Linked DNA regions of Oryctolagus cuniculus. The protein of the gene in region 6 purifies or fractionates together with the protein of the main gene of each other region. This does not show direct contact. Links are inferred from orthologs where the notes say so. Each region holds a gene or a part of one and is shown on either strand. Other genes may lie near its edges.

Region 1 (4,222 bases), on a different chromosome or scaffold from region 6:
ATTAACTGCATTTACTCCAATGTTACTGAAAGCTAAATTTTATCTGTCATTTAAGAAAACATAAATGTAATCAAATTAATTCTCCCCAAAGGAACTATAAAATAGTTTTAATTTTAAAGACACTTCAGTAGTTTTATCATTCACATGAAGTTTTCCCACAAAATAAATGTTAATTACTGTTTTGTTAAAAGTTCTAATAATACGATCTTTTAATAGTTTTTGCTATGGAAATTGACTGAGTTAATCTTTCAGAAGGAAATCAAAAAATGATGTACTGTGATAACAAAAATTGAGCACATGGAAAAGATACCTTAAATTATTTCTAAAATAAAGCAAAATATAAAATTAAATATAGTCTTATGCAATATTAACAAATTGCCTCTGGATATATATATATATCAATGTTTATAACCCCAAATAATAAACAAAGTAGCTCCAGTTTATACCTTCCAAATGATTACAACTGTAGATTTTGGAATGTGTCACCTACAAATTTTTTTAATGAAAAAGGCCTTAATATTTCCAGATAGCTTAATTTTTCACAAACTTAATTCAATATTATACTTGTTCATTATCAAGTCACATAATTTTTATCAGTATTATTTATGCCTATTATTTATAACTATACTTATTTACTATAATACCTAATGTCTGCAATTAAAAACAACTGATAGATGAAAAGCTTTCTTCAATTTAGAAGTATCACTCTAAGTATTGCTCCAAATTAAAATCAACGTGAATCAGTCATTCTAACATGGCAGCGAAAATCCATATTACATTTTTTCATTGTAGTTTTCACTGAAAGTGTCAATTTATCAGCTAAAGTATTTAAATTCCTTTAAAAGCATTATGAAGCATACTTACTGATCCACACATACAACCTAGTGGAGTAAATGAGTATTATCTCCATTACACATAAGGAAACCAAGGCACAAAGGTATCCATTTTGTAAATTGCAAGGTCATTTCTCAAGGAAGCAACTGATCCTACAGCATGAACATACGTGTGCCACTTCCAAGTGCCAGAAAACAAGTCCTGTACTTTTCAAATTGCCTTTGCAATGCCTATCTGCAATTCTGTTTCATCAAAAGAGTTAATGCAAGAAGCCTAAAAAAGGAAAAATGGAAAGGGAAGATTACAAAAATCAAAGGAAAACACTTATTTGGGGTAGTGAATTATTTATTTTTAAACAATAATTTGTAAGCATCAAGTACCCAACAGTTGCTTGTAATATTTGCAAAAAAATGTCATCCTTCAGGTACAGCATGTAAAACTGGAACATAGCTATCCTTGTAGACAGAAGTTAGAAACATAAGAAAAAGATCTGCAAGTAAATACATGATATTACAAAGAAAACAACTGAATAAAAAATAAAATTCAGCTAAGTTAGGGTACGATTAAAAACCCCATCATTCATTCCACTGTAGGCTATGGTTAGCAATCAAATATTCAAATATTCTACTGGTGAAATTAAATACCAAAGTTTTCTCATTCAAAACTTGAGATGTTTTATTCAAATACTTTATTAAAATATTCAATACAAATAAAAACTTTTCCCAACAGAAGCTTAAGAGCAAAAGGATAAATTGCTCCCGTAGAGTTCAGATTGAGACTACATGTGTAGACATAGCGCTATCAACAACTAGACCAATCAAAGTTCCCTACGACTCACAGGAAAGAACAGGAGAGGGGTTGAATCAGCAATACATCCATCACATCTATTACAGAACAGGAACAAGATTTAGCTACCACCAAAAATAAAATTAAAAAAAAAAAAAACACAGAGCATTCAGAATGCAAGGCGTATCTTTTACAAAAAAGGAACCACAGTGAGCCCTGCTGAAGTACGTACTCTAGCTGGGGCTTAATTGATCAACCGTCTACAGAACAGGTCGCCGAGGCTCGGGTCGGATGTGCTGTCATCACTATTCCAGCTCAGGCCCCGCGAGTGCAGAAGGTGTCAGAGTACGGAAGCTAGGGGGCACGCTGCAGCCAGGGGAGAACAACGCCAAAGGTGCAATGGATGCTGCATAGTTGAATAATTATCTGGGTGGCACAATGGGCGAGTCCCGCCGACATCACAGCCCAGCAAGCGGCTCCCTAACTCTGCCCAACGCCCCCTCCCCACCCCCCACGAGTAGGCAGCGGGGGCGACCGCATCGCTTCGCCTCCTCTTCAAAGGAAAACCCGCACGCCCGCACCCGCTTTACCGTTATAGCTTCAGACACCGACGTGCGGCGCAAACACGCAAACGCGCCAGCGGGCTGCACCGAGCCTCGGGCACGCAGAGCCGCCCGGGGCTTCTCGGCCACCCGAGGCTGCAGCCGGCTCCCGGGCGAGAGGCCGAGGGTGCGGGCGGGCTGGGGAGCCCAGGCGGCGGCACTTCAGGTGAGACCCGCAGAGTCCCCGCCCCGAGCCGCCTCAGGGCGGTCCCCGCAGCGCAGACCCCGGCGCGCCCACCGCCGCCTCCCCGCAGCACCAGCCGGGCCGGCGGCGGGGAGGCGGGAGCTCGGGAGACCCGCGAATGGGGGCGGGGGAGGCGAGCCCACCCACCCCCGCCGCCTCTGCGGGCAGGAGAGCCACGCACACGCCTCCCGGCTCCAGCTCCGGCCGCTGAGACCGAGTTCCTCTCCCCGGCCCCCTCCCCCGAGGAAACAATCCCTGAGAGAGCCGCGCTCACCGTGAAACCTAGGGGCTCGTGCCTTACCCCTTCTGCATGCTTCGGCGGCGGCCGCCGGTCCCGCTCAGCTCCCGGGACTCCACCGAGAGCCCCCAGGAAGGGCAGGCTCCGGGGGTGGGACCCGCTCGGGGCAGCGGCTGAGGCGCCGGGCCGCGGGGAACGCCGCCCGGGGCGCCCGCCGCTCGCCGGACCCACACTGCGCTCGACGCGCGAGCGAACAACACCGCGAGCCGCCGCTGCCTCACCCGCCCCCTCCCCGCGCGCGACGCTCCACAACCGGGCGCGGGGACCCGCGCCAGAGGCAGGGGGGACCGCGGGACTCTCTGCTCCCAATTTCCCAGCCTTCCACCCAGGAGCTATTCCTGGTCAGTGACAGGTCTTCAAACTCAAGATTCTCACTCTCCTCTTCAGCCCCCAGTGCCCAGGCGCTGCGGTGATGGGAAACCGAGCCTCCGCCCACTCGCCCATCCGTGGGGGTGAAGACCACGTTTCCCCCCTTTCCGGAGGCTCTGTGGTATTACCCAAACCTCAGTTTGGGGGAGGGGGACGGAGAGAACCCAGCTTGGCGAGGGAATGAGGGAAGATGATAGCCAATTGAATGAACCATCCATCCAGGGGCGGGGTCGAGGAGAGACCTGCCCGCCAGCCCCGCCTTCTCGCCCTAAACTACATTTCCCATGGTGCCTGCGCGCACTTCCCGCCGCGCTGCACGCCGGGAGTGTGTGGCCGCAAGGCCTCCAGGTATTTCTGAACTCGTAGTTTTTAATCTAGTCCTCCAGGTCCTGAAAGTGACCAGCTGTTAAAACTGGTTCCTTAGGTAAATGTTTCCAACCTCTTAATCCTATAGAAACTATTCAAATAATAATTGGTCTGTTTTTTTTTTCAAAATGTTACAAATGATTTCTTAGCCAAGGAAGTAAATAATGTGTTTCACGGCTGTCTGTCAGGACCTGGAAGCCGCTTCTCCTTCCGCCCGGGCCTGGTGTCCGCAGAGGATCAGTTTGCCGTCATGTCGGCTGCTATTGCAGCTCTGGCCGCTTCCTACGGTTCGGGTTCGGGGTCCGAATCCGACTCGGACAGTGAAGGCGGCCGATGTCCGCTGCCAGCCGCCGAGTCTCTCATGCATCTGACTAAATCGCCTTCGGCCAAGCCCTCGCTGGCAGTGGCGGTGGACTCGGCTCCGGAGGTGGCAGTTAAGGTAAGTGCTGCGGCCACCGCTGCGGTGCGGGAATGGGCTCCAGCTCCAAAGTCGCCGCCGGCCGCTGTTCGGCCACGTTTTGCCTCTTTCTCGGCGCCGAGAGGCCAGTCTCTAACGCTTGGATTGCATCTGCGGAGCAGCCCTCTAGAGCCCCCAGAACCCCTGCCCTCGCCCCCCGCTGTCAGAAAGCAGGTGGGAAGCGGGGTGGATTGGGACAAGGCTTGGACGAAGCCGGTGTAATCTCAGAACAGGAATGAAACTAGACCAGAACTGTACAAGCTGGGGTACGAAGTGAACAGTGGCCCGGCTTTGTTTTGTTTTTTAAGTAAGAACCAGGTTCCAAT
Region 2 (4,219 bases), on a different chromosome or scaffold from region 6:
CGCTGTTGGCTGGAAAAGCACGATTACACCCAATGTAAATGGCAGAGGTTGAGAACATGACAAGGGTCCAACAGCCTGCAATGAAGGTTTAAGTCCCCAGCATGTTACTCAAAGCCTGAAAACTGACCAAGCTACTGGAAATGCACCTTCCACCCATGCCTCTATTTACAAAGGGTCAGTTTCTCTCAACTGGGCCAAGAAGATTACAATGCAGCCAATTTTGCCAAGTCAGTTTCACCCGCCTGTCAGGACCGCTGGCAGTGTTTACACAGCAGCTGAGACTCCCTGAACCCAGAGGAGCAAACCCAGCACTGCCTAAAGCTGCCATCTCACCCTCCGGTGGCCACCACAAGGCCACCAAGACCCTGCCACTCTCCTCGTGTCAAGGAGAGAGCTACTCAGGCAGGACCTGCCCCTGTGGTCACTTCTTCTCAAGCGGGGAGACCGCCCCTCCTCAGGAAAGCCCTCCTGCGAACATCCATGCACCTGCACCCCCCCTCCTGGACCTCGGCCCCGGTGCTCTCTGCCTGCCACTCTTCACATAAACCACACACACGCTGGGAGCCTTTATCTGGGCACAGGTGGTGAGTGCACTAAGGGCGTGTTCTGAGGCACAGCTCAGATCTGGTTTGATAAGTTAAGGCAGCCCGGGTTAATTTCATTTTCCGCCACTTTCAAGACTTGGGGGAAAAAAATAACTCTGTAGGTAACTTAATCAAAAACAGCAGCAGGAAACACAGCCCCCGATTGGTTCTCACGGCTACACAAAAACCCTTCCCGAACTGCCAGGACTGGGGCGGGCCAGGAAGGGACTCCCTACCTGTGGGTCCCCAGAAAGCCACGCCCACCAGCCCCTCCCCCTGGGTTCGGTCTCTCCCTGGGTCAGTGCAAGGAGCAGGCCTGGGTAATGGTGTAGGCCCTTCCGGACGCGACTGGGGCCCACTCACCCCATGATGCCCATGCAAACTTGGCACAAAGCCTCAAACCTGTTGGCCAAATAAGGGAGGCACTGCCACCCCCGCCCCTGCTTTGTCCTGAGGAGGCTGACTTAGCCAGGTGCCTGCTGGCCACCAGCCAGTGACCCCCCAGCCTCCGCCCACAGCCGGTCCCAGGCGATCGGCATTGTCCACAAAGTACAGCGTTATCCCACACAATGCGAAGCCCACACGGCGCCCACGCGGCAGCCGTCGTGGATGCTTTCAGAGTCACACAGGACGTTTTTCCAGGACCCCCTGGCGGTTCCATCGCCCGGAACGCAGAGCGACCGGGAGAAACTTTGGTACAAGTGGCTGGCTCCAAGGGTGCCCTGAAAATCCGCGGCAGGGCGCAGACCCTGAAACCCGCACAAAAGCGCCCAGCGCCGGGCCGTCGACCCTCCCTTACGCGACGTGACAGCAGCTTTGTGTGGGATCAGAAATAGTTGCAATCAACACACAGTTAAGTTCTCCGGGTGCATCGTGACCCCCCGCGTCCCTGCGACCCGGAGATTCCTCCCCCGGCGACCGCGGCCGCCGCTCGGTCCCACGCCGACCCCGGCCCCGGCCCCGTGCCTGCCGCCGTCCGTCCCGCAGGCCGGGCACTCCCTGCGCACCGGAGGTGTCCAGTCCCCGGGCCCCGCCGCCCGGCCCCTGCCCAGCTCCTCGCCCGCGCGCCCTTGGAGGGCGCCCCTGCCCCCAAGCCGGCCTCTGGGGGTAGGGTGGGGGGCCCGGAAGGCGGGCAGGAAGGTGCGGAGCCTGGAGGTGCCGAGCAGTCCACAGCCGGTGGGGAGGGCGCCCAGGCCGCAGCGGGGGCGAGGGCACCGGCGGAGCGCGGAGGGGCCCCACTCCCCCAGCCCCTCCCTGGGCGCGTCCCGGCCCGCGGGCCCCGCCGCGCTTCCAACTCCGCCGAATGGGCCCCCAAGTTTGCGGCGCACACACTTACCTCGCCACGGGCCGCCCACCGAGGCCGGAGGGCAGCGGCGCGGGTCCCGGGGCGGCGGCGGCCGCGCTGCGCCCGCCCAAGCGCCGCTCTTTGTCTGCGCCGCTCCCGCGTCTTGCCGCCGGGCGGACCCCGCCGGCCTGGGCGCCGCGAGCCTCCCCGCCGCTCGCCGCCCGTTCGGCCGCGCGGCTCCGGCCTGAAGCTCCCGGAGGCGGCGGCGGAGGCGGCGGCGGCGGCGACCCTCCCCCGGCGCGCAACGCCCGCCTCCTCCGCTCTCTTCCTCGTCCGCCCGCGCTCCTCCCCGGCCGCGCCGTGACGCCGCCCAGGGGCCGGCCCAGGCCCCGCGCGCGCACGGGGCGGGGGCCCGACACCCACCTGGGGGCGCCCCCGGGCTCCGCCGAGCTCCGCGGCCCGGCCCCGGAACGCGCCCGGCTTAGCCCGGGGCTGGAGAACGCTGCGCTGCGGGGCGCCGCGGGGCCCTGCGGGGCGCCGAGCGCTAGGCTAGGTCCCCGCGCCCGCACTTGCGGGGGCGGGGTGGGGACGACCGTAAAAATGCAGGCATTAACTTCCAGCCCCGGAGGCCGGCCGGGTGGGCTTCGCGTGCTCTTTTTGTTGTTTGTTTAATTCTCTTACCGCCACGCGCGAGTTGGAGAGGAGACCGCGCCCCCCCCTCCCGGAAGCATTCCCACGGCGCGCTCAGCGCAGCAGGCCTGTGGTCCATCAGAAAAGTGACTTCCAGCAAAATGTCACTTCCTCCCTGTGATTGCTTGCGGGCATTTTTATTTTTATTTGGCTTGCGTCTATTTACTTTCCCAACCAGACACGTTTTTAGTCCATTCGTCCCTGGCGGAGGCGCTTCCTAAGGGGAGGAGCGGAACTCCGACCTCTGATGCCTCCCAGGCACGCAAGCCCGCTCCAGCCGCCGGGAGTCGGGTTGCACAGCCCCGGGAGCAGAGCCCAATCAGGAGCCGCCTGCCCCTGGGCCCCTGCGGGTACCGTGAGGGGTGGGCCCGACCGGCTCACCCAGCCTCACCCCGCCTGGAGTTGTGTGGCCCAGTAAACAAACTTGGAAGCTGGAAACCCGAGAGCAGAGGCAGAGACCGGAGAGCTCCCCTTCCGGATGCGTCCAGATGTCTTTTCTCCAAACTCCTTCTCCCCGTGGTTTCCCAGAGGAAACCCTAATGTTCCAAGGATTCCAAAGCCCTGGTGGGATCGCCTGCATCCGTGTCAGTGAGATGCTTTCTTTGGCTCCTGGCTTCTGATCTTCAGGAAAACAGTAATGTTTCACCCAAGGAGGCAAGGCAACATTCTTTGATTGACTCCCTCCCCCAAAGCACCCAAGAATGGGTAAGTAGAGTCCCCGGAGCTCCGTCATCAGTGGCCTGCTGGACTGTGGACTTCTGACCTGTGTAACCTCACACAGGGATTTCTTGACTTTTCTCAAGTCTGTGAAATGGGGAGATAATATCTACCTACCTCCAACAGTACCAGGGACACGCCTTGGCGACAGGTCACCCTTGAATAGCTCAGTATGTGGAAGGAGGTACACTACCTTGAGCAGAGATCAAGTTCAAGATCTGGGACTCAGGACAGCCTCCTGTTTGACTCTGGGAAAGAAGCTACCAAAGCTCATCCTTTAGTGCAAGTCTCATCTTAGGAGTGAGGAAAGCAGAATTTTAGTCCATAGTCGGCCCAAATTTCAATGGGCTTACTCCAAATACGTAGAGCAATATTGACCCTTGTTTGCTTTGTAAAATCTCAGTCATGGTTCTCCTCTTCCTCCTCTGATTCTTTGAAAAACTCACTGATGCCACTCTCTAAACCTTAATCCTACAGGGTCTGCTGAAGCACGTGGCATTTCTACCTCCTGAAACTCCATCATCTTTCCATTGATCTTAGATGATTGATTTTGGTCCTATTGCCTTCTGGCCCGCCCATATTTTCTCCTTATAGGAGGTCTGTTGTCTTCCTTCCTCGATTCCCAAAGCAATCAAGGTTTTAGTCTGATGTGTCCTTTTTTTTTTTTAGTTAACCACCCGCCTGAACTTTAAGAAGAAATTATTTAGTTTTTGTTTGAAAGGCAGAGGGACAGAGAGATAGCCTCCATCTGCTGGTCCACTCCCCGGATGCTTGCAACAGCCAGGGCTGGGCTAGGAACTGGGATCCTATCCAGGCCTCCCACGTGGGTGGCAGCAACCCAAACACCAGAGCCATCATCTGTAGCTTCCCAGGGTCCACATTAGCACTAAGCTGGAATCAAATTAGAGGAACTGGGACTCAAACCAGGTGCTCCCACATAGGA
Region 3 (3,342 bases), on a different chromosome or scaffold from region 6:
GCCGGCCCCACACAGGGGGCGCCGCGGCCCTGAAGACCCCCCCTCTCTCCTGCGCAGGTAGGCCTGACCGGGCTGAGGTCCCTCTTGTTGGGGGCAGGGCTTTGGCCTGCTGCCTGGTGCCGTGGAAGGCCCAGCCTGCTCCTCTGCGCTCCCCGACACTGGGCGCCAGGCTCCCGGCTTCTGCTCGGCCCAGTGGCCTGCGGTGGGAGCAGCTCCCTGCTCAGGCTGCCTGGGGCCCGGTGTGGCCAAGCCTGTCCCTGTCCCCCTCCCTCGGCTCCCCAGGCTGCAGGAATGGAGACGGGCGGGGGTCTTTGGGGGGCGGGGTGGGGAGCCTCGGAGCTCAGGGCTCTGCAGCAGCCCTCACGGGGAGCAGTCAGGGCACAGGCACACCCGCCTCCCGGCCCAGCCCTGCACACGGCCTCTCTCCCTCTCTCTCCCTCTCCACTCTGGGGCAGGGGCCTTCCTCCTCTCTCCAAGGGGAAGTGGCCATGTCTTCTCCTCGCAGGCGCGGTGGTGCTGCTCAGATCTCAGACCCTGTTAACACTATTAACCCGGCCCCCGCTCCGCCCGCTCCGCCGTAACCCCAGCTCACAGAAGCCGCCCCAGCTGCAGGGACAGCAGCCGGGCCGCCCCACCCCTCACCTGCCACTTCCCCTCCCCCCACCCCAGCCACCAGGATCCCGAGCAGGAAGCCGAGCCCGCGGGGCGGTGGGTCCTGTGTGCCTACGACTTCCAGGCCCGCAATGGCAGCGAGCTGTCCATCCAGCAGGGGGACGTGCTCCAGGTCAGCCGGGCGGGGAGGGGGAGGGGCCGCAGCCGGCCAGCCCCCACCGCAGACCCCGCCTCTCAGCCCGCTCCACTCCACATCCAGGTCCTGGATGACCGGCGCAAGTGGTGGAAGGTCCGGGACCCCCGGGGGCAGGAGGGATACGTGCCTTATAACATCCTGACCCCCCACCCCGGGCCGGGCGGGGACAGCGGCCAGCCCCCGGCCCCGCCCCTGGTGAGCCAGGCAGGGCCTGGGGGTCTGCAGCTCGGAGGTCTGGGGTATGGGTGGGTGGGAGGTGTGAGGGCCAGGACTCAAGATTGGCCCCCACAGGACAGCGCGCCCCCCGCCCCGCGGGCCCCGGCTCCTGCCCGCCCGCGCTGGAACAGCTGCGACAGCCTGGACAACTTGGACGCCAGCGAGAAGGGTGAGTGGACACCTCCCCCGGGGAGCCCCCTGGCCTGAGCACCCGCCGGGCCTGAGCGCGCGCGCCTCCCGCCCGCAGAGAGGTTCTCCCAGATGCTCAGCGTCCACGAGGAGCTGCAGGCGCGCCTGGCCCAGGGCCGCCCGGGCCCCAGCCGCACCGCCCCGGGGCCCCGCGCCGCCGAGCAGCAGCTCAGCCCGCGGTCGGACGCCGCCGAGGTCCGCGCCTGGTTGCAGGCCAAGGGCTTCAGCGCGGGGTGAGTGGGACAGTCACCGCAGGGCTGGGATTTGCCCAAAACTGATTGGCATGCTGTCCCAGCCACTGGCTGGGGCCCCGGAAAGCCCCGCCCCCACAGCGGGATGCGGCCCTACTCCCTGGAGGGCGGGCGCTCTGGAGCGCGGACCCGCGGACAGGCCTGAGCACCCCCTCCCTGCCGCCCTCGCCCAGGACCGTGGAAGCGCTGGGGACGCTGACCGGCGCGCAGCTTTTCTCGCTGCAGAAGGAGGAGCTGCGGGCCGCGAGCCCCGAGGAGGGGGTGCGCGTGTACAGCCAGGTCACGGTGCAGCGCGCGCTGCTCGAGGTGAGCCCGGGCTGCTCCTCGCCCCCCCGCCCGACCGCACGGGGCCGGACCCGGCGGGCTGACCGCCGTCCCCCCTTCAGGACAGGGCGAAGCCGTCGGAGCTGGAAGCAGTGATGCAGAAGCAAAAAAAGAAGGTGGATGGCGAGGTGGACTCGGAGGTCATTTGAGCTTTCTCAGCCCGCGCTGCGAGAGGTGACCACGCAAGCCCGGGGAGCGCGGACTGCAGGATCCCTGTCGAAGGTCGGAGGCCCGGGCCTCCCCACCCTGGGGGCAGACCGGACGGACAGTCCTGGCCGCCGCGCCCTCGCGCGGGTGGGAGTGACAGGGCGCGCTATGGACAGCTCCTCGGCGGCGGCGCGACGTCTTTGCCCCCTGCCCGCCCTCTCGGAGGGGGCCGCTGTGGTCTCCCCTGCCGCCTCCTCCACGCTGCGGGGCCCCCTGAGCCGGCCAGCAGTGTCCTCCAGCCCGGGGCTTCCCTTCCCTTCCCCGTGAAGCCCCCCACCCACCTCTCCCGCCCAGCCCCAGGCTGCTCTGCCGGCACCTGCTGCTCCCTTTGTGAGCCGCCCCGGCTAGAAATCCACGAAGCCCCTCCTCCCTCCCGCAAGCCCCCCACGTATCCCCTGGGGCTGCGAGGGTGCCAGCTGGGGCACCTGCCCTCGCAGCCCCACCCCTCAGGCTGAGTCCGGGCAGGCACAGCTCCGCCCCCAGGGGTGCCCCTGCCCACCCTCAGGAACCAGGCCTTATGCCTCCAAAGACTTCCTGGTCCCCAGGGCCCTCGGGGTAAACAGGCAAGCCCCCGCCTGGGGACTCCAGGGAAGGGCCGGCTGCTCTCCCACCCCTCGTTCTCAACACAGGAACCAGAAACCTCCACTACCCGGGCTGCACACGGGAATGCCCGTGGTCTCGGCCTGCACCCTGGCGGCTGGCCACGGCTGCAGTTCCAGACCCGACCCCTCTCACCACCTCCACGGCGGTGCCCCGTCCCCCACCCCCTGCCCCATCCGCTCAATACAGCGCTGAAACCGTCCGTGGTCTCGTTTCACATCCGCCGCCGCCAGCACCCGCCTCACCTGCCCAGGGCGCTCCCCTCCAGAGCCTCCCCTCCCCCCTCCCCCTCCCCCCCAGCGCTACAGCTGGACTGCGCCTCCCCCATGGTCCTCTCCTGGGAGACCAGCAGGCAGCCAGAACCTGTCCAGGAGGCCAGGCCCAGCCATGATGAATCAGTGAATGAATGAACAAATGCCATCGAGACACAGCTCCTGCCCAGCCCCCTCACTGCCACCAGTGGGGCTGGAGCGGCCTGCCACGTGTCACCCCAAGTCTCCCCAGCCTGAAACTGGCCCCGTAGGCCCTCCCCTCCCCGGCCTGGGACCCTGTGGGCGTGGCCTGTGGCCTTGGCCCCGCCCCCGCACCTGTGCAGTCTGAGTGGCAACTTCACGACTTTTATTTGTGGTGCCTGTGCTTTGTCTCGAAAATACCTTCTCCCCCTGCCCCAGGCGAGAGCGGGGAGGGGGCAGCAAAAATAGAAGACGGCCCTCCCTATTGCACATGGACCCCATATACAGCCCCGGC
Region 4 (3,714 bases), on a different chromosome or scaffold from region 6:
GCCATCCACAGTGGGGATGCGTACAGCGTCCCGCGGACCAGGAGGCCGAGGAGTGCCTGGTGCCTCCCGCTCATTTCGCAGGCCTGGGAGGAACGGGAGAGGTGGGGGGTCAGCAGAGAGGGGCTGGCCAGCGCTCCCCGAGGCCACCGCCGCCGCCCTCCCAGTCCAGGGCTCACCGAGTTCCTTCTGCACGTGTTGCGGTAGACCTAGCACCGTGCTCCGCCGTGGCCGCCGCCGCCGCCCTGACTTCCCGGATGACTTTGGAAATGAGTCATGAGGTCGGAAGGTGGAGCCTGGGGGCCAGTCCGGGGGAGATGAGCAGGGGTGGAGAAAAAAAAAAAAACCGTTAGAGCAGCAGGACTCAGCACACTCTGCAGAGCACCACTTTTGTGGAATAAGAAGAGTTCTGGGAAAAAAAACAATTTGCACAAATAGGTGTGTGGGCGAAGCCGGGTTAAACCAAATGGGAAGCTGCTTTTCTGTAAGACTTCTAGGATGCTGCTAAGTCAACAATGATAATTTCCACTCAGTAAACACAGGACTATGTGTCAGCCAGCAGGTGAAACACTTGGCATTCATTCCAACAAGGTAAGTACTCTTATTACTCTCCTTTTTATAGAACATTAAACAGAGGCTCAGAGAGGTTAAGGGTCTGCCCAAGGTCACACAGCTAGTACATGGCAATGCCAGGCCTCACACCCAGGCTTCCCCACTCTGAATGAACTGTCCTGCTGTACAGCCCACGTGCTGTGAATCTCCAGGAGGACACAGGAGACTGTGTTTCCTGAATTCACTGAGTCACAGAGCCTGGCGAGCCCCTGGGTTAGGAGGAAACGGGCAAGCTGACGGTGCCCACCGTCCCCTCCCCTGCCCACAAATCCCAGCTGCTGCGCAGACACCTTTGCGCTGGATCATCTCGGAGCGGATAGAAAGAGCGTCCTCTGCCGTGGAGCTCTCGGCCGTGTAGGACGTGGTCTGGCTGCAGAAGGAGATGCTGTCTTCATCCGGCCCCGCACGGGAGGACTATCGGGGGAAGAAGGCGATCAGGCCCTGGCCTGGGCGGGGCTGCCTCCAACTCTCCCCACTGGAACTCTGGCTCGTGGATCGGCCCCACCCCCAGTATAACCCAGCAGCAGCTGCAGCAACCTTGGCCTGGTCCCTCAGGACACAGGAAGGAAACAGTTCCAGAGAGGTGCGTGCACAGGTCGGGCAGGGAGGGAGGAGTCCAGCGGGACTGGGCGGGGGGCTCACCTGGATACTCTGGGTGTCTCCATGGTCCCAGCCACTTTTGTTCAGTTTCTGTTTTTCTGGAAGATACCAGAGGGTGTGTTGGGCTGGGCCTCCAACCTTGGGAGCTAAGAGAGTGCGCTGGCGGGAGGGGAGTGTTACCTTGGTGCTGCAGTGAGCGGAGCCCCTCCTGCGCTTGCGTGTGCAGCTCCTCCAGGTGGGGTGGCCGCCCACTGGGGAAGAAGACATTGTCCTGGTGTTCATCCACTGCAGACCCTGGCCCCTGGCCGGGCCCTACGCTTTGATGTTTGTCACTCTCAGCTTTGGCAGAGCCTAGTGGGATGGAGGAGGGAGGGAAGTTGAAGCTGGAAGACATCGGAGTCCCGGACATGCCACAAGGCACAGCCACAAGGGTACCCACAGTCCCCAGCCTGTGCACAGCCCCTGCGCACACGGTGATACCCACTTCCCCCTACCTGGACACACAACCCATCATTCTGGGATGTGCACCCAATATATACAGCTCCCATTGTGCACACACACAAACTGTGTCTGTAATTCAGAGCCGCACACAAGACTGCCTGGGGACATGTGCAGTCCACAGCACACACATTCCCCATCTGCAGCCCCCAAGTCCCCTTTACAGGAAAGCATACTTATAGTGAAACCTCTCAGCCTACATCCAGAAAGAAGGGAGACCAGGAAAGAGTGGGAGCTGGCAGGGGACCTACCCAGAGTCCCAGCAAAGCCTGGGGGAAGGCACCCATGGGGGTATATATAACCTTGTGGGTCCCCTACTCACCCATGTGGCTGGCCCTTAGAAGTAAGGGCAGAGAGAAGGAGGACTGGGACCCTCCACCCGCAGCCAAGGAAGCTCTGGGCTCTGCTCAGGGAACAGTCCCAGCTGCCCCCCCCACTCCCCTCCCTCCTGGAGGCCCTGGCCCTTGGTGCAGAGGAGCCAGGATCCATTACAAAGGCTCCAGTTACAAGCCCCGCCCACGGAGGGGTTGGTCATCTAATCCTGGATGTGGGGGGGCTGCGTCAGCACTTTGCAGCCTTGGCCCCCCTCTAAATGAAACCCACAACATAAGCAAAAGCGCTAGGAGGGTCATGTGACCTGGATGGCACTTTGTGCAGGAGCAGGAACAAAACAAACCCATCACAGGGCCGCGCCCCCGACACCTGCCTCTCCACCCGGGCATCCACGGGAGTCCCACCAGGGCAGAGCTGGGGTCCCCCAGGGGACCTGATGGGAACTGTTCATCCACTCCTCCTGATTTGACAAGTTGGGGAAAACAGGCTCAAGGGGGAAAGGCCCTGCCTAAGGTCACCCAGCAAACGGGAGTCAGAGCCAGGAGGACACTCTGGGCTGCCACAGGGCGCTCCAGGGTCACACACACCTGGAATCCCTGGCCGCCCCGTCTTAATCCTGGCATGGAAGCCCAGGTCTTTGGAGGAGGAGTGGGCACAGGTTCCCCCTACCCAGGCCTTTAAGTCCCCCAACTTCCTGTGGAACTACTTTCCCCACCTCTGCTCGCATCCCACAGCCCCTCTCACTGGGGAGGGGGCTGCCAGCTCTCTGAACCGGCCCCGGGCTGTGCTCAGCGAAGCGCTTCAAAGCTCAAGCCGGCTTCAAGGTCAGAGACACCTGGCTCCATCCTCCCAAGCACAAGCAGGGCCCAGACAAAGACAGCAGCAAAGCGGCCGGACAAAGCAGCACGGGAGATTCTGGCCTCGCTACCAGCCCCCAGCCCCCACCTCCATTACTCCTTCCCGGCCTTGACCCCTTTTTCTACAACAGGGTCCGGCAAAGGGACGTATAGAGGATCCCGGCTCTCACCCCGCTGCCACACCCACTCACCCTTCTTCTTAAAGAGCCCAGGAAGCGTGGGGAGGTGGCGGCCCAGGAACACCACCATGACTGCGGGCGCCGCTCGCGACCGTCCCCTCTCCCGGCCTCTCCCGAGCGCCGCGCGGCGCCTTCACCATGACCCAGCACGGAGGAAAACGCCCGAGCGCTCGCGTCCCCGCCCCGCAGCAGCAATGCCTCCAGCCGGAGGGGGAGGGGCCGCTCCAGGTCCTCCTCCCACCTTCGCCACTGATCCCGCCCACCGGCCGACCCCGCCCCTCAAGAAGGATGCAGGGTGCACGAGGGAAACTGAGGCATGGAGTCTGTGCGTTCCCCGCTCTGGTCACTCAGCTGCAGCGGGGTCCCCTAACCCTGCCACTGTGTCCTGGTCTAAATATTCCGGAGCCAGAGCTGGGGCAGGGGTCCCGGCTGCCAGATGGGAGGCGGACGGGCCGCCAGACTAGACTTGGCAAGGTGCCCGCCCCTAAGCCCTCCTGGCTGGTGAGGGTAATGCCCTGGGGACAGAGCTCAGCCAATGAGGCAGTCAGGCAGAAGCCCAGGACAGCCCTGTGGGGGTGGAGAGGCCCCTGGAGGGGCAGGGGGCTGGCCCAGGACCCAGGACCTACCCGGGAAGTCAG
Region 5 (3,714 bases), on a different chromosome or scaffold from region 6:
GTTTTAGGAGACTGCATACTAGAAGCTGTTATAGAATGAATTGCTGCGGCCAGTCTGTAGTGTCAGCTTCCTCAGTTTTGGAACTGACGTGTAAGTTGTTCAGCATGTAAATCACCATAAAAGAGTAAGGTGGGGTTGGGGAGGTTATTTTTAGAGAATGCTATTGAAGCTGTTAAGACTTTGTTTTTATGTCATGTTTAATTCAGCTTGGCTCAATATGAAATAGACATGGATATCTTATGAGTTAAGACATCGTTTTCTTTATTCAACCTGCTTGACCTCATTCTCTTGATAAAATAATCATGAAGTTCTAGAGAACACTGTATTTGTCCTTCAGCTCTCTGACCCCAATTAGGTTAATTCTACTTTTGTTTGGAAAACGTGCACTAAGACATTTGTGTACATTATAAATATTTTTTTCTTTTTGCCAATTGTAAGCACTTGACTACCTTTGTTCTGGATCGCAAAGATGCTATGATAACTGTTGATGATGGAATAAGGAAGCTGAAATTGCTTGATGCCAAGGGCAAAGTGTGGACTCAAGATATGATTCTTCAAGTGGATGACAGAGCTGTGAGCCTCATTGATTTAGAGTCAAAGGCAAGTTCGTAAAATCTGTACTGTTTGATTTGTTAAAAATCTCCCTACGTACTCATATTTACAGAAAGGTCAGATTGTTTGACAATAGGCAAAAGTCTTACAAAATAAAATATTTACTTTACTTGTAGAACGAACTGGAGAATTTTCCTTTAAATACTATCCAGCACTGCCAAGCGGTGATGCACTCATGCAGCTATGATTCAATTCTTGCCCTGGTGTGCAAAGAGCCAACCCAGAACAAGCCAGATCTTCATCTTTTCCAATGTGATGAGATTAAGGTAAAAGACAGTGAATTTGTTTGTTTTTTTTTTTTTGACCTTTTAAGCAGATATTCTGGTAGCTTCCTATGATGGAGTATTCAAAAAATTCAGATAATGGGTTTCATGAAAACATTGCATAGATCTTATATTTTTTGTACCAAAATAAACATCTTTTCATCCCATTTTCTATGAATTTTGTAAAGTGCCCTCATATTTTAATCATATGTCATTGGAATACCAACTTTTTACTTTTTGAGGATTTTGTCAAGAAAACAAATATCATAGTATTTTCCCTTGGATTTCCAAGCCAAGAAAATAAAGGGGAAATTTGAGTGATACTAAAAAAAATCAGATGTATCGTTTATTTCTTAAACATGTAGATAATATTATAAATTCTTACCAAATGCCTGGACTTACAGTTGAAAATCAAATGTTAAAAAATGACACATGGACAATAAATTATCATACTACTGTCCAATTTTGTTCTGCACTAATCACCTAGTGTGGATTATTGTAATGAGGCACTAAGATAGTTCCCTTGACATTGGTATAAGGTTCATCATTTAATTATGTTACTTGAGTAATTGCTAAGAATTTGTAATCCTCAAATGATATGTGAAAATAATTGAGCACAGTTACCAGTAATAACAGGCTATCTCCTTAAAATTTTTGTTGCAAAGTACACTGTAATTTTTGAATAATTATAATTTGTGATGCTTTATTGGACCTTAGAAGTTATGTTCACCCTTGAATGTCTATTTCCTGAGTTGATTTCTTTAAAATTGAAATCACTTTCTGTTGATTGATACTTTGCCAAAGTAGTGATTTATTGTTTTGATTGTATACTATAAATATTCAGGCAACATTTATCTTACAAAAAATTTTGGGAGATTATCATAAAGAGACACTTGATCTTTTCTGTATTTGACATTAAACTATGATAGGTAAATTAGGGCTGACTGTAAACAGTATATTTTATAATTTCCTTCTAATTTAAATTTATTCCATAGATGACTTCTAATGATCTTATTTGCAAAGAATGTGACATTTAGATAATTTGTATATGTGTTATTCATCAGATTTTTGTATAGTGTAGTGACTTTTGAAAGTCAAAGTATATTAAGAATTTTGTAAGCTTTGATGTGTTGAATCGCTGAATATTAAAGTGAATATTTTGCTCTGAGAATATAGTGAATTTAATTCAAACATTTTAAAAACAAAGGACTAAGTTAAAAGACATTCATAATCTGGTGTTTGGATCCATGATATAAGAGTCCTCCTGGGAGCTAATAGTTACTATGCTGAGTAAAGTTTCTGGATTTCAGTTTTGAGAACAAGGTGCTTGCCTTATTTGACGTGGAGTGGTGATAGTGATACATTCAAATGGATTTACTGAATACTGTTTTGCTCTAACTAGAAGCTCATACACCACTAAGAACTATATTTGCTCATTTGTGCCATAGGCCACATGAGACCTTTTTTCCTTTGGCTGCTTGATTAAAAATTAAGTGCAGCGAATATGATGCAATCTCCTTTATGTGATCATCTTGCCATTTTGCTTTAGAGTGTTAATATTCATGGTACTTCACACACTGCCACAATGCTGTTGCTTACTTTTGTAGTCCTTTTTTTTCCTGAGAAATAAAATATCCTCCTGTACCCCCATGAGAAGTTCAAGGCTCCTGAGCATCTTTAGTTTTGATATCTCAGATAACAGAATGCCTTTGATGATGTGGGCAATGTCATTGAAAATAGGATGTTCCTGTGGCAGCAACACTGAACTGGGGCACCTTGACACTGCCAGTTAGCGCTAGACCTTGGCCAGGTCTACTTTATGCGTATTCCTCAGTTTCATAAATTAGAAGAGGAGAATGGATTAGATCAATGTTAGGTGTCCATTCAGTTCTCAAATTTTATGATTATCAGTGCTCACTGTAAGTGAATATATAGGATGCATGGTTGAGGAAAACATACATAATTCCAGAGAGCATTCAGACATAGCAGATGACTACATCTCAGCAATGATCTAATATCCAGTTTTAAACACTGGCTATAAATAAACTTGAAAATGAAACAGAATAAACTTTGTAGCTGTTAATCCCACATTGGTTCCAAAGTTTTGCAAGAGTTGTTTGCAGAAAGTAAATTTTTACCTGAAAAGACAAAATAAGGAGATTATCCCCAAGGAAACAACCTACTGTTGGGAACCTTCCCACGGGTACAGTAAATTTGCCATTAAAATAAGAGGGTCTCTATTGGGACCCAGCGGTTTGTTTCAGTGGGTTGATGGGTATCCAGTGGGCCCTGAGGAGGAGAAAGGAAAGGAAATTTACCCCACATGAACGTGTTTCTTCTCAGGTGGAAAGAATTAGCCAGCTTCATTTATAGCGCCTGCTTGTACTTTCAGCCTATGCTAAGTGCTTGTATGTTTGCCTTGTGGAAGGACATCTGGTTTAGAACCAAGGGGCTCTGGATCTTTAAAAATTCTTTCAGCTTCTAAATTCTGTCCTTGTAAACATCACCATTAAAAAATCTGCAAGTCACATTTTGAAAGCAATTTTGATTTTCAAAGAAGGCTTTCTTTTTTCATGAAGACACTTTACTGATTCAGACAAATAACCTAAACCCTTTCCCTGTTTTAATGGCCATATTGAAGCTTGGGAAAAAAATCTATAGTCCTCCAGGTAACTTGTCTCTCATTGCAGGCCAACCTGATTAGTGAAGATATTGAAAGTGCAATCAGTGACAGTAAGGGAGGGAAACAGAAGAGGCGGCCCGATGCCCTGAGGTAAGCACATTAAAAAAATTAAAGGGTAAAATTCATTTTCTTGTCTTTTTTTTTGCCACCTAAGGG
Region 6 (3,714 bases):
GAAGCCATCAGAGAGATCAGCAAACTGCGACCATCCCCAGAAAGAGATGCCCTCATTCAGCTCTCGGAAATTGTACTCACGAGAGATAAATAACAACAACTTCTGTTCTTTCTGGCAGCTACTTTACCAGACTGTGCCTAAAGTTGTTTGCTTCATGTGCAGATAACCAAAAATCATTTTAAAAAACAATTTCAACCTTATTAATGGGCAGGTTTTTTTTTTATTGGCAAAGTTTTTCAGAAAACTTTTTCAATGTACTTAAATCATCTGAATCTGTCATTGCAGTCTTATAAATTCTAATTGAGGTATCTTGATGGTTCTATGTGGTATTGTTTACACTGTTAATATCCACATGTAAAGCCATTACACAAATAAATAATCAATGTTAAAATTCAAATGGTTTCTATTATTTCACCATAGGAGTAAAGATCAGAAAATTGTGAAGTGTGCACTTACATCCACATTATTTGTATTTTAACAGTATCGAAAAACTCATAGGAGAATGGTTTATTATAAAAGACTGTACATAAAATTTAGACAACAGGTTATATACAAATTAAGAGAACATTCCACTTAAAAAAGGAATAGAAGGTAGCTAGCTGATCACTAATGACACTTGGTTTGAAATTAACAAAGGCAAAATGTATATGAAACAGTCACATTGATTTGGTAGCAATAATGGTCTTTAATTGTCAGAAATAAATGTTTTGCACTAGTCTTACCATTCACTATGCTGTTAGAAGTCTGTAACGCCCAATACATAACTGTAATTTGAAACTCAAACAAATCCTCAATACACAGAAACCCACACTTGAGTGCTCTACTTTAATATCCTAAGCAATACAGAATTATACACAAGATAAGAGAAGACATCCCTCTAACCCTCCCTTAAATTAAGAGGAGACACACAAAGTGCATGTGTTGCATTTCAATTATGTCAAAAGACAATACAAATCTGTTGGTTAAGTATATCTCTGTTCACTGAATAATACATGACTCACCTTCTTTCCAAATTATTGTATTTTAAAATCTTATGTTGCTAGTGCCAGGTAATGGATTAAATAGTGCCTATTCACAAATCAATCGCACTTACTTTTACAATATGTAAAAGATACTTATAATTTCCTTTCATCAAACCAGTGTACAATAGTCCACTGTAAAAGTAAAGGACAGGTATGGCAATCCTTAAAAATTTTACTTACAGAATAAATGTGTACACTTTGACACATTTTCGTAGCTTCAAAAGTTAGTTACTTTCAAAAAGGAATTCAGTAGATTGACTTGTAAATAACCATCTCAGATTTTTAAATCTGCAAAAAATCCATCACATTGCTGTTGGGACAGATTAAGGCTAAAATTTTTTTCCAAGTTAATATATTGAGAAAATAGAACCATAATTCTATAATAAATCAGTATCTCTCTCTCTCTCTCTCTTTTTTTTTTTTTTAAAGCAAACCAGTGAAGGAAAGGACAAAGACCTTTGGTTCACTTATATATTTATGAATGGAAAAAATTTATAATTCAAATTTCATTCATTAAAAAACTTAGGTACAAATTATAACATTACAGATTAGCCTTTTGTTTGTTTTGCATGGGGAACTTAGAGACTCAATTCATTTCAGGAGACCTAAGTGTGAATACTCCAGGGAAATAGCACACAAATTGGAAGCATCTTGGAATTTTTCAGTATATTTCAACACATAAATTTTTATGCATGCTTTAAACAGTATTTTTTTAAATGAGAGAATCTAAACAAAAAAGTATGACCAGCACCAGCATTTAAGTTTTCTGATTTTAATATTAGTTTGACATAGCATTAGTAACCATGCTCACTGAAACATGTAATGATACAATCTGAATCATATAATTCATTAAATATTATACCCCGCTTCCCCAGAATATTTAGGCTGGTCATAAAGTTAACATTGTGTAAGTAAGTACATAAGCATAATCAGGGACAGCCTCTTGTATAAATTGCTGTTTAGCAATATACAAACTGCCTCAATGATTTATGCTTATAGGTAGACATTCAATTATACCAATAAAACAGCATGTCCTGAAAATATGGGCACATTTTAAAACATATTAAGACAATTCTGTTAACCGTAATAGTCCCACAGTATGACTGAGTAATAAGATCCTACTTTAAAAGCAAAAATCTAATCAGTATAGTGCATGATTGATTCAACATAGTTCCCAGGGAAGAGACCAGTCACTCGATTGCAGACTCCTTCATACCAGCCATCATCATTCTTCTTTATAACATAAATGATTGCACCCTCCATGAAGGACAGCTCATCATCCTTGTCTTTTGTATAATCATATATTGCAACAACTACGGAGAAAAGAGACAGAGTAGCACATGAGTATACTATACTCAACATATAATTGAATTTTGAAATTTTATGCCAATTGTACTATAATATGCCAAAGCCAACTATTTTCATGAAAAGTCTTAATTCCTGTATCCTTCAATATAGGTCAATCAGTGGCCAACAATGTGACTAAATCACTGGCGTGATATTAGGGCCAAATTTCAGTTTAATTAGACGAAAGAAATCAAAAGGTTCTACCAATCTTTTTAAGAAAGATCTCAGGGTTCAGGGATTTATAAGATATTTTAATCCATTTGCTCCTATATCTACAAAGTGTCCATCATAGGGGAAGTACCATTTTCAAAGTAACTATTAGGCAAAGCTAACTTTTATTCAGTAAACCAGGTAACAACCAAAGCTGTCTAATTGGAAAGTATACAATTTGGCACATATTAGGCTAAAGTTAAATTAGCTTACAGGTAAGTAAAAATGGCTTTAAGAACAGTCATGTTGGGGTCAGCACTGTGGTGCAGCAGGTTAAAGCCTCAGGCTGCAGCACCAGAATCCCATATGGGTACCGGTTCGAGGATGGGTGATCCACTTCTGATCCAGCTCCCTGCTAATGCACCTGGGAAAACAACAGAGGATGCCCCAAGCCCTTGGACCCCTGCAAGCACATAGGAGACCCAGAAGAAGCTCCTGGTTCCTGGCTTCTGATTGGCCCAGCTCCGACCATTGCAGCCATTTGGGGAGTGAACCATTAGATGAAAGACCTCCCTCTCTGTCTCTACCTCTCTCTGTAACTCTTTCAAATAAATAAAATAAATATAAAACAAAAAAACCAGCCTTGTCATAAACTGTTATCATACACTCAACTGAAATGCAATTAATCCAGGATTCATTCACCTTGTGATTATAAAAGTGACAAAAAGATTTTAAATCTAACCCTACTAAATCTCCAGTTTTGATTTATACTACAGGTCAGCAAATGAACAACTCAATACACATATCCAAGCTGCTGCCTTCTTGTTTTTAACTAAAGCTTCCTTGCAGCATGGCCACATCTAACATACTGTCTGTGCCTGCTTTTGTGCTACAAGTGCAGGCACAGCAGTTGTGACAGACCATACAGCCAACAGAGTCTAAAATACTATCTGGTCTTATCCAAGAAACAGCAAGCTGACCTCTGGTTCAGGACTCAGCACCTCAACTTGTGAAAATATGCTTTTAATTCTGCTCTCCTGCCAAGTGTATTAAACATATCTTCCCAAATTTATGAAATCATTTTCCCACTTCATAGTTATTTTATTTCTTATTTATTTTTTATTTTTTTGACAGGCAGAGTGGGCAGTGAGAGAGACAGAAAGAAAGGTCTTCCTTTGCCGTTGGTTCACCCTCC
Region 7 (3,714 bases), on a different chromosome or scaffold from region 6:
GTATGCAAAGTCTAAGAAACCAGTCATAAAGGATGACTTATTGCATGATTTATTTTTATAGAATCCCCAGGACAGCCACATCTACAGAGACAGAAAGCAGATTAGTGACAGCCAGAGGCTGGGGCAGGGAGGCATGGGATCTGACTGCTAATGAGTAGGGGTTTCTTTTGGAGGTGACAGAAGTTTTCTAACATTAGACACTGATAATGGTTATACAGTTTCATGAATAAAATAAAACACTATCAAGTCGAACACTTTCAGAGGGTGAATTTAGGGGCTGGCGCTACAGTGCCAGCATCCCATACGAGTGCCGGCTCGAGCCCTGGCTGCTCCACATCTGATTCAGCTCCCCGCTAATGCGCCGGGAAAGCAGCTGTGGATGGCCCAAATGCTTGGCCTCCTGGAACCGTGTGGGAGACCCAGAGGATCTCTCCCAGGGGTGACAACTGGGACACTTTCTTCCAAGGTGACTGTTAGCAACGGAAGCCCCGCAGGAACACGGGGCCACTGTGAACACCGTCAAGGGTGATCACAATCTCTCTCCCGCCTGGAGAGAAACTGAGCCTCAGTTCCCCAAAGTTCTCCAACCTGGAAGCCTGCTCAAGAACAGCTTTAAACGCTGACACTTGGACAGCCCATGTTTATTACTTTACTGGACAGTTACTGTTCGACTCGCAGCAATGACAACTACCCCTGGGATGGGCAACGGTTGAGATTATTAGCCCCATTTTACAGAACAGGAAGCAAAGTCTCAAAGAGGTAAAGTGCCTACAGTGGTCAGGGCTAGGACCCAGTCTCTACTCGTCTCTCGTGGGCTTCAAATGCTCATGAAAGGGGTTTCTGCCACTCAGAGCCTCATAGAAATGAATGTTCCTACACTACTGTGTAATCAAACAACAAAACACAACTCAAAACATTATAAGGTAGTAACAGTCCTCCCTCTGGAAAATGCTGCTGCTCATGGTTTGCTATATATATGTAGGTCCCTCAATTTTGAGCAAATACATAAAAGTATATCAATTTTAGTATAAATGGGATCATTTGTCCTCATGTACCTGCATCTGCAAAACTTAGCAATTTACTGTGGGTAGCTTCTCATCCTTCTCAGCGGCTACACGGTATTCAACCATACAGCTCTATTTTATGTACCTGATCCCATGTTGAAAGACATCTAAGTAGCTTTACATATTTTGGAATGAGAAACAATACTGTGGTGAACACGTGTGCACACATATCCCTTCAGAGTTGGCTTACTTCCCTGGGATATATTCCTAGAACTTCTGGGCCAAAGGGTTCTCCTACTATAAAAACATCAATACATATCAGATTGCCCTTGGGGGAAGCCCATAGTGTAGCCTGGCCACAAAAATATCAGATTGTCTATTTCCCATACTGCAATCTGCAATAGCCATCAACACTTTGACATCTTTGCTACCTTGACTGGCAAACACTGTCTCCAATCTTACTTTCACTCTGTAGTTCTTTGATCACCCATTAGTCTGGGCACTTTCCATGTCTTTTTTTAACCAGTTTTTTGTTTGTTTCTTCTGTTGGCTTTTTTGTTTTGCCCACTGTTCTAGTGGAATGGAGATTTTCCTTTGGATTCTTTGGAGCAGGGTTCCTAGTCATTTCTAAGTAGTAACTCTTGAAAGAGATTGGGTCTACGTGGGAGAAGGGGCCAGTAGTTCAGGAGACTCCATTCTGTCACCTTGCTCAGAACCACTCCTGGGGCCACAGTGAGCAGTGGTCTTGGGTGAAGGAGGAGATACAAGGAAGGAGCACCTACCTCCACGAAGGCGAACTTCTCCTCGCTGGTGTAATTGTAACGTGTGGCTCTCTCATACTCCTCTGCCGTGCCAGGACAGTCCTTGTTGCAGAACTTGTCTGTGGGATGCACCAGCTTCCAGGAGTACTGGGGGGAATGGCAACAACCCAAATGACCATCGACTGATGAGTGGCTCAACGAGAGGGGATAGACCCACACAATGGACTGTTACCTAGCCATGAGGGGGAACAAAGCACCAAGTCATGCTACAACATGGGTGAAGCCGGGTATGGGGAGGATGTTTGGCCAAGTGATTAAGACACTGGCTAAGAGGCTTAGTCCCACAGAGAAGTGCCTAGGTGCGATACTTGGCTCTCACCCTGACTCAGGCTCTCGCTAATTCAGACTCTCGGAGGCAGCAGGGGACATCTCAGGTAGCTGGGTCCTGGCCCCTGACATGGAACCCCTGGACTGAGTTCAGCTCCTGACTTCACCTTCCCCTGTCATTGTAGGCACCTGGGAAGTAAGCCAGTAAGTAGAAGGTCCTTCTCTGTCTCTCACATACAAAAGTTAAAAGAAGCTAGCTCCTGAGTCAGAAAATGTGGGGTAAAAAAGAAATCAAATACAAAGGACCACAGATTCTATGACTCCATCTGTAAGAAACACCCAGAAGAGGGATGGCCAGAGAGCTGGGAAGCAGACTGCTCAGGGCTGCAGGGATGGGTGGTCACGATACACAGGGTTTACTGCTGAAGGGACGACAATGTCCTGAATTTCACTGTGGTTATGCGATGCCGTGGATGGTCTGAAGACCAATAAACCTACACATTAGGTGGCTGAGTCGGATGGTGTGTTAACTGTATCTACATGAAGTCGCTAAGAATGCGTGCAGGGGATGGGCAGAGCCCCACAGACGCAAAGGCAGCATGGGTTGGCGTGAGGTCCTCTGCGGGCAGGACACCTACCACCTCCATGACGTGGGCGCTCCACTTGGACAGAAGCTGCAGGCCACGCAGGGCCAGGTCAAAGAGCTCCCGGTACTCCTCGTCTGACTTCTGGCTGTCCAGCCCGGAGCCCGTCACCACCTGGGGAACAGTAACTGTCACATGTCTGGCACTGGTACACATTTCACCAACTGCCCTGGGAACACTATAGGGTTATTACTATGTACCCATGAAAATTAACGGGGCTCAGATAAGCACCGCGCTCAGGCCACATGGTTGGTAAACCATGCAGGGTTCCAATTTGGGGCCGTGATCCAGAGCTCCACTCAAAAGCACCCCGGCAGAGCAGTGGCTTCCAAACGTTTCTGACTGCATTCACAGTAGAAATGCATGGAAATGCATGCTGTTCAATGAGTCAGGACACAGAATTGCGTACATACGCTGCACGTACGCAATGAGATTTGTCATGAAGCTACGTCAATACATGGGGTTCCCTCTGAAGATGCTCATCACAAACCCTTGACTTGATTTCACAGTCTCTCTGTGTAGTGCTCCAGAAGGGAATGTAACACGTATGTACTCAGGTCTACACGCACAAAGCACAACTACTTGCTAAAATCCATTTCTGAATCCCCAAGTCAATACTCGCAGGCGTGTCTCAGTGACTTGCAGCTCACGTGTGTCTCAGCTACAGTCAAACAAGATGACCTTTATGTCTTTTTCAGCCTCATACCCTAAACAAGGGGTCTCCCTCTGGTGGGCTAGTTAGGGCCACACACATTTTTGTGCTTTGTTACTAGTGATTTCACAACCTAAAATAGTCCCCAAGTATGGCTGATGGGCTGTACCATATTTCTACACGCAAAAAGCTACATGTATAAAGCAGTCAATTAAAACAACTTTGACCACACTTTTACATGCAAAAGCTATAGGTATAAAGCATTTAATTAAAAAAAAAAAAAAACTTTGACCAGATTTCCTCCGAGACCATACCAAAACGCTGCT

What was found.
Region 1: the proteins of ABI1 (region 6) and WASF1 purify together in Homo sapiens (affinity purification with mass spectrometry; 6 studies listed by BioGRID and IntAct, with this or other methods). This does not show direct contact. The link is inferred for Oryctolagus cuniculus from reciprocal best matches to the Homo sapiens genes ABI1 and WASF1.
Region 2: the proteins of ABI1 (region 6) and NCK2 purify together in Homo sapiens (affinity purification with mass spectrometry; 3 studies listed by BioGRID and IntAct, counting the BioPlex papers as one, with this or other methods). This does not show direct contact. The link is inferred for Oryctolagus cuniculus from reciprocal best matches to the Homo sapiens genes ABI1 and NCK2.
Region 3: the proteins of ABI1 (region 6) and EPS8L1 purify together in Homo sapiens (co-immunoprecipitation; 4 studies listed by BioGRID and IntAct, with this or other methods). This does not show direct contact. The link is inferred for Oryctolagus cuniculus from reciprocal best matches to the Homo sapiens genes ABI1 and EPS8L1.
Region 4: the proteins of ABI1 (region 6) and NHSL3 purify together in Homo sapiens (affinity purification with mass spectrometry; 3 studies listed by BioGRID and IntAct, with this or other methods). This does not show direct contact. The link is inferred for Oryctolagus cuniculus from reciprocal best matches to the Homo sapiens genes ABI1 and NHSL3.
Region 5: the proteins of ABI1 (region 6) and EPS8 purify together in Homo sapiens (affinity purification with western blotting; 4 studies listed by BioGRID, with this or other methods). This does not show direct contact. The link is inferred for Oryctolagus cuniculus from reciprocal best matches to the Homo sapiens genes ABI1 and EPS8.
Region 7: the proteins of ABI1 (region 6) and CYFIP2 purify together in Homo sapiens (co-immunoprecipitation; 4 studies listed by BioGRID and IntAct, with this or other methods). This does not show direct contact. The link is inferred for Oryctolagus cuniculus from reciprocal best matches to the Homo sapiens genes ABI1 and CYFIP2.

Annotation. Positions count from the first base shown.
Region 1 is NC_091436.1:61,320,865-61,325,086, reverse strand, and holds the start of WASF1 (actin-binding protein WASF1), read right to left. Parts: upstream 2,846-4,222; 5' UTR 2,708-2,845; exon of another isoform or gene 2,681-2,707; intron 2,325-2,680; exon of another isoform or gene 2,211-2,324; intron 1,988-2,210; exon of another isoform or gene 1,853-1,987; intron 1-1,852. Other genes in the region: CDC40 (pre-mRNA-processing factor 17), read left to right, coding at 3,358-3,421, 3,628-3,878.
Region 2 is NC_091433.1:102,853,575-102,857,793, forward strand, and holds the start of NCK2 (cytoplasmic protein NCK2), read right to left. Parts: upstream 2,842-4,219; 5' UTR 2,551-2,841; intron 2,193-2,550; exon of another isoform or gene 1,921-2,192; intron 1-1,920. UniProt on the Homo sapiens protein: Adapter protein which associates with tyrosine-phosphorylated growth factor receptors or their cellular substrates. Maintains low levels of EIF2S1 phosphorylation by promoting its dephosphorylation by PP1.
Region 3 is NC_091449.1:3,734,218-3,737,559, reverse strand, and holds the end of EPS8L1 (epidermal growth factor receptor kinase substrate 8-like protein 1), read left to right. Parts: intron 1-669; coding exon 670-784; intron 785-871; coding exon 872-1,003; intron 1,004-1,099; coding exon 1,100-1,193; intron 1,194-1,271; coding exon 1,272-1,446; intron 1,447-1,637; coding exon 1,638-1,770; intron 1,771-1,850; coding exon of another isoform or gene 1,851-1,855; coding exon 1,856-1,966; 3' UTR 1,967-2,797; downstream 2,798-3,342. UniProt on the Homo sapiens protein: Stimulates guanine exchange activity of SOS1. May play a role in membrane ruffling and remodeling of the actin cytoskeleton.
Region 4 is NC_091438.1:139,780,332-139,784,045, forward strand, and holds part of NHSL3 (NHS-like protein 3), read right to left. Parts: intron 3,237-3,714; exon of another isoform or gene 3,147-3,236; coding exon of another isoform or gene 3,089-3,146; intron 1,561-3,088; coding exon 1,390-1,560; intron 1,308-1,389; coding exon 1,252-1,307; intron 1,024-1,251; coding exon 900-1,023; intron 294-899; coding exon 177-293; intron 84-176; coding exon 1-83. UniProt on the Homo sapiens protein: Able to directly activate the TNF-NFkappaB signaling pathway.
Region 5 is NC_091440.1:113,481,409-113,485,122, reverse strand, and holds part of EPS8 (epidermal growth factor receptor kinase substrate 8), read left to right. Parts: intron 1-438; coding exon 439-600; intron 601-728; coding exon 729-878; intron 879-3,565; coding exon 3,566-3,648; intron 3,649-3,714. UniProt on the Homo sapiens protein: Signaling adapter that controls various cellular protrusions by regulating actin cytoskeleton dynamics and architecture. Depending on its association with other signal transducers, can regulate different processes.
Region 6 is NC_091444.1:103,386,910-103,390,623, reverse strand, and holds the end of ABI1 (abl interactor 1), read right to left. Parts: intron 2,336-3,714; coding exon 2,160-2,335; 3' UTR 201-2,159; downstream 1-200. Other genes in the region: all trans-polyprenyl-diphosphate synthase PDSS1, read left to right, coding at 1-93. UniProt on the Homo sapiens protein: May act in negative regulation of cell growth and transformation by interacting with nonreceptor tyrosine kinases ABL1 and/or ABL2. May play a role in regulation of EGF-induced Erk pathway activation. Involved in cytoskeletal reorganization and EGFR signaling.
Region 7 is NC_091437.1:44,287,772-44,291,485, reverse strand, and holds part of CYFIP2 (cytoplasmic FMR1-interacting protein 2), read right to left. Parts: intron 2,851-3,714; coding exon 2,731-2,850; intron 1,913-2,730; coding exon 1,787-1,912; intron 1-1,786. UniProt on the Homo sapiens protein: Involved in T-cell adhesion and p53/TP53-dependent induction of apoptosis. Does not bind RNA. As component of the WAVE1 complex, required for BDNF-NTRK2 endocytic trafficking and signaling from early endosomes.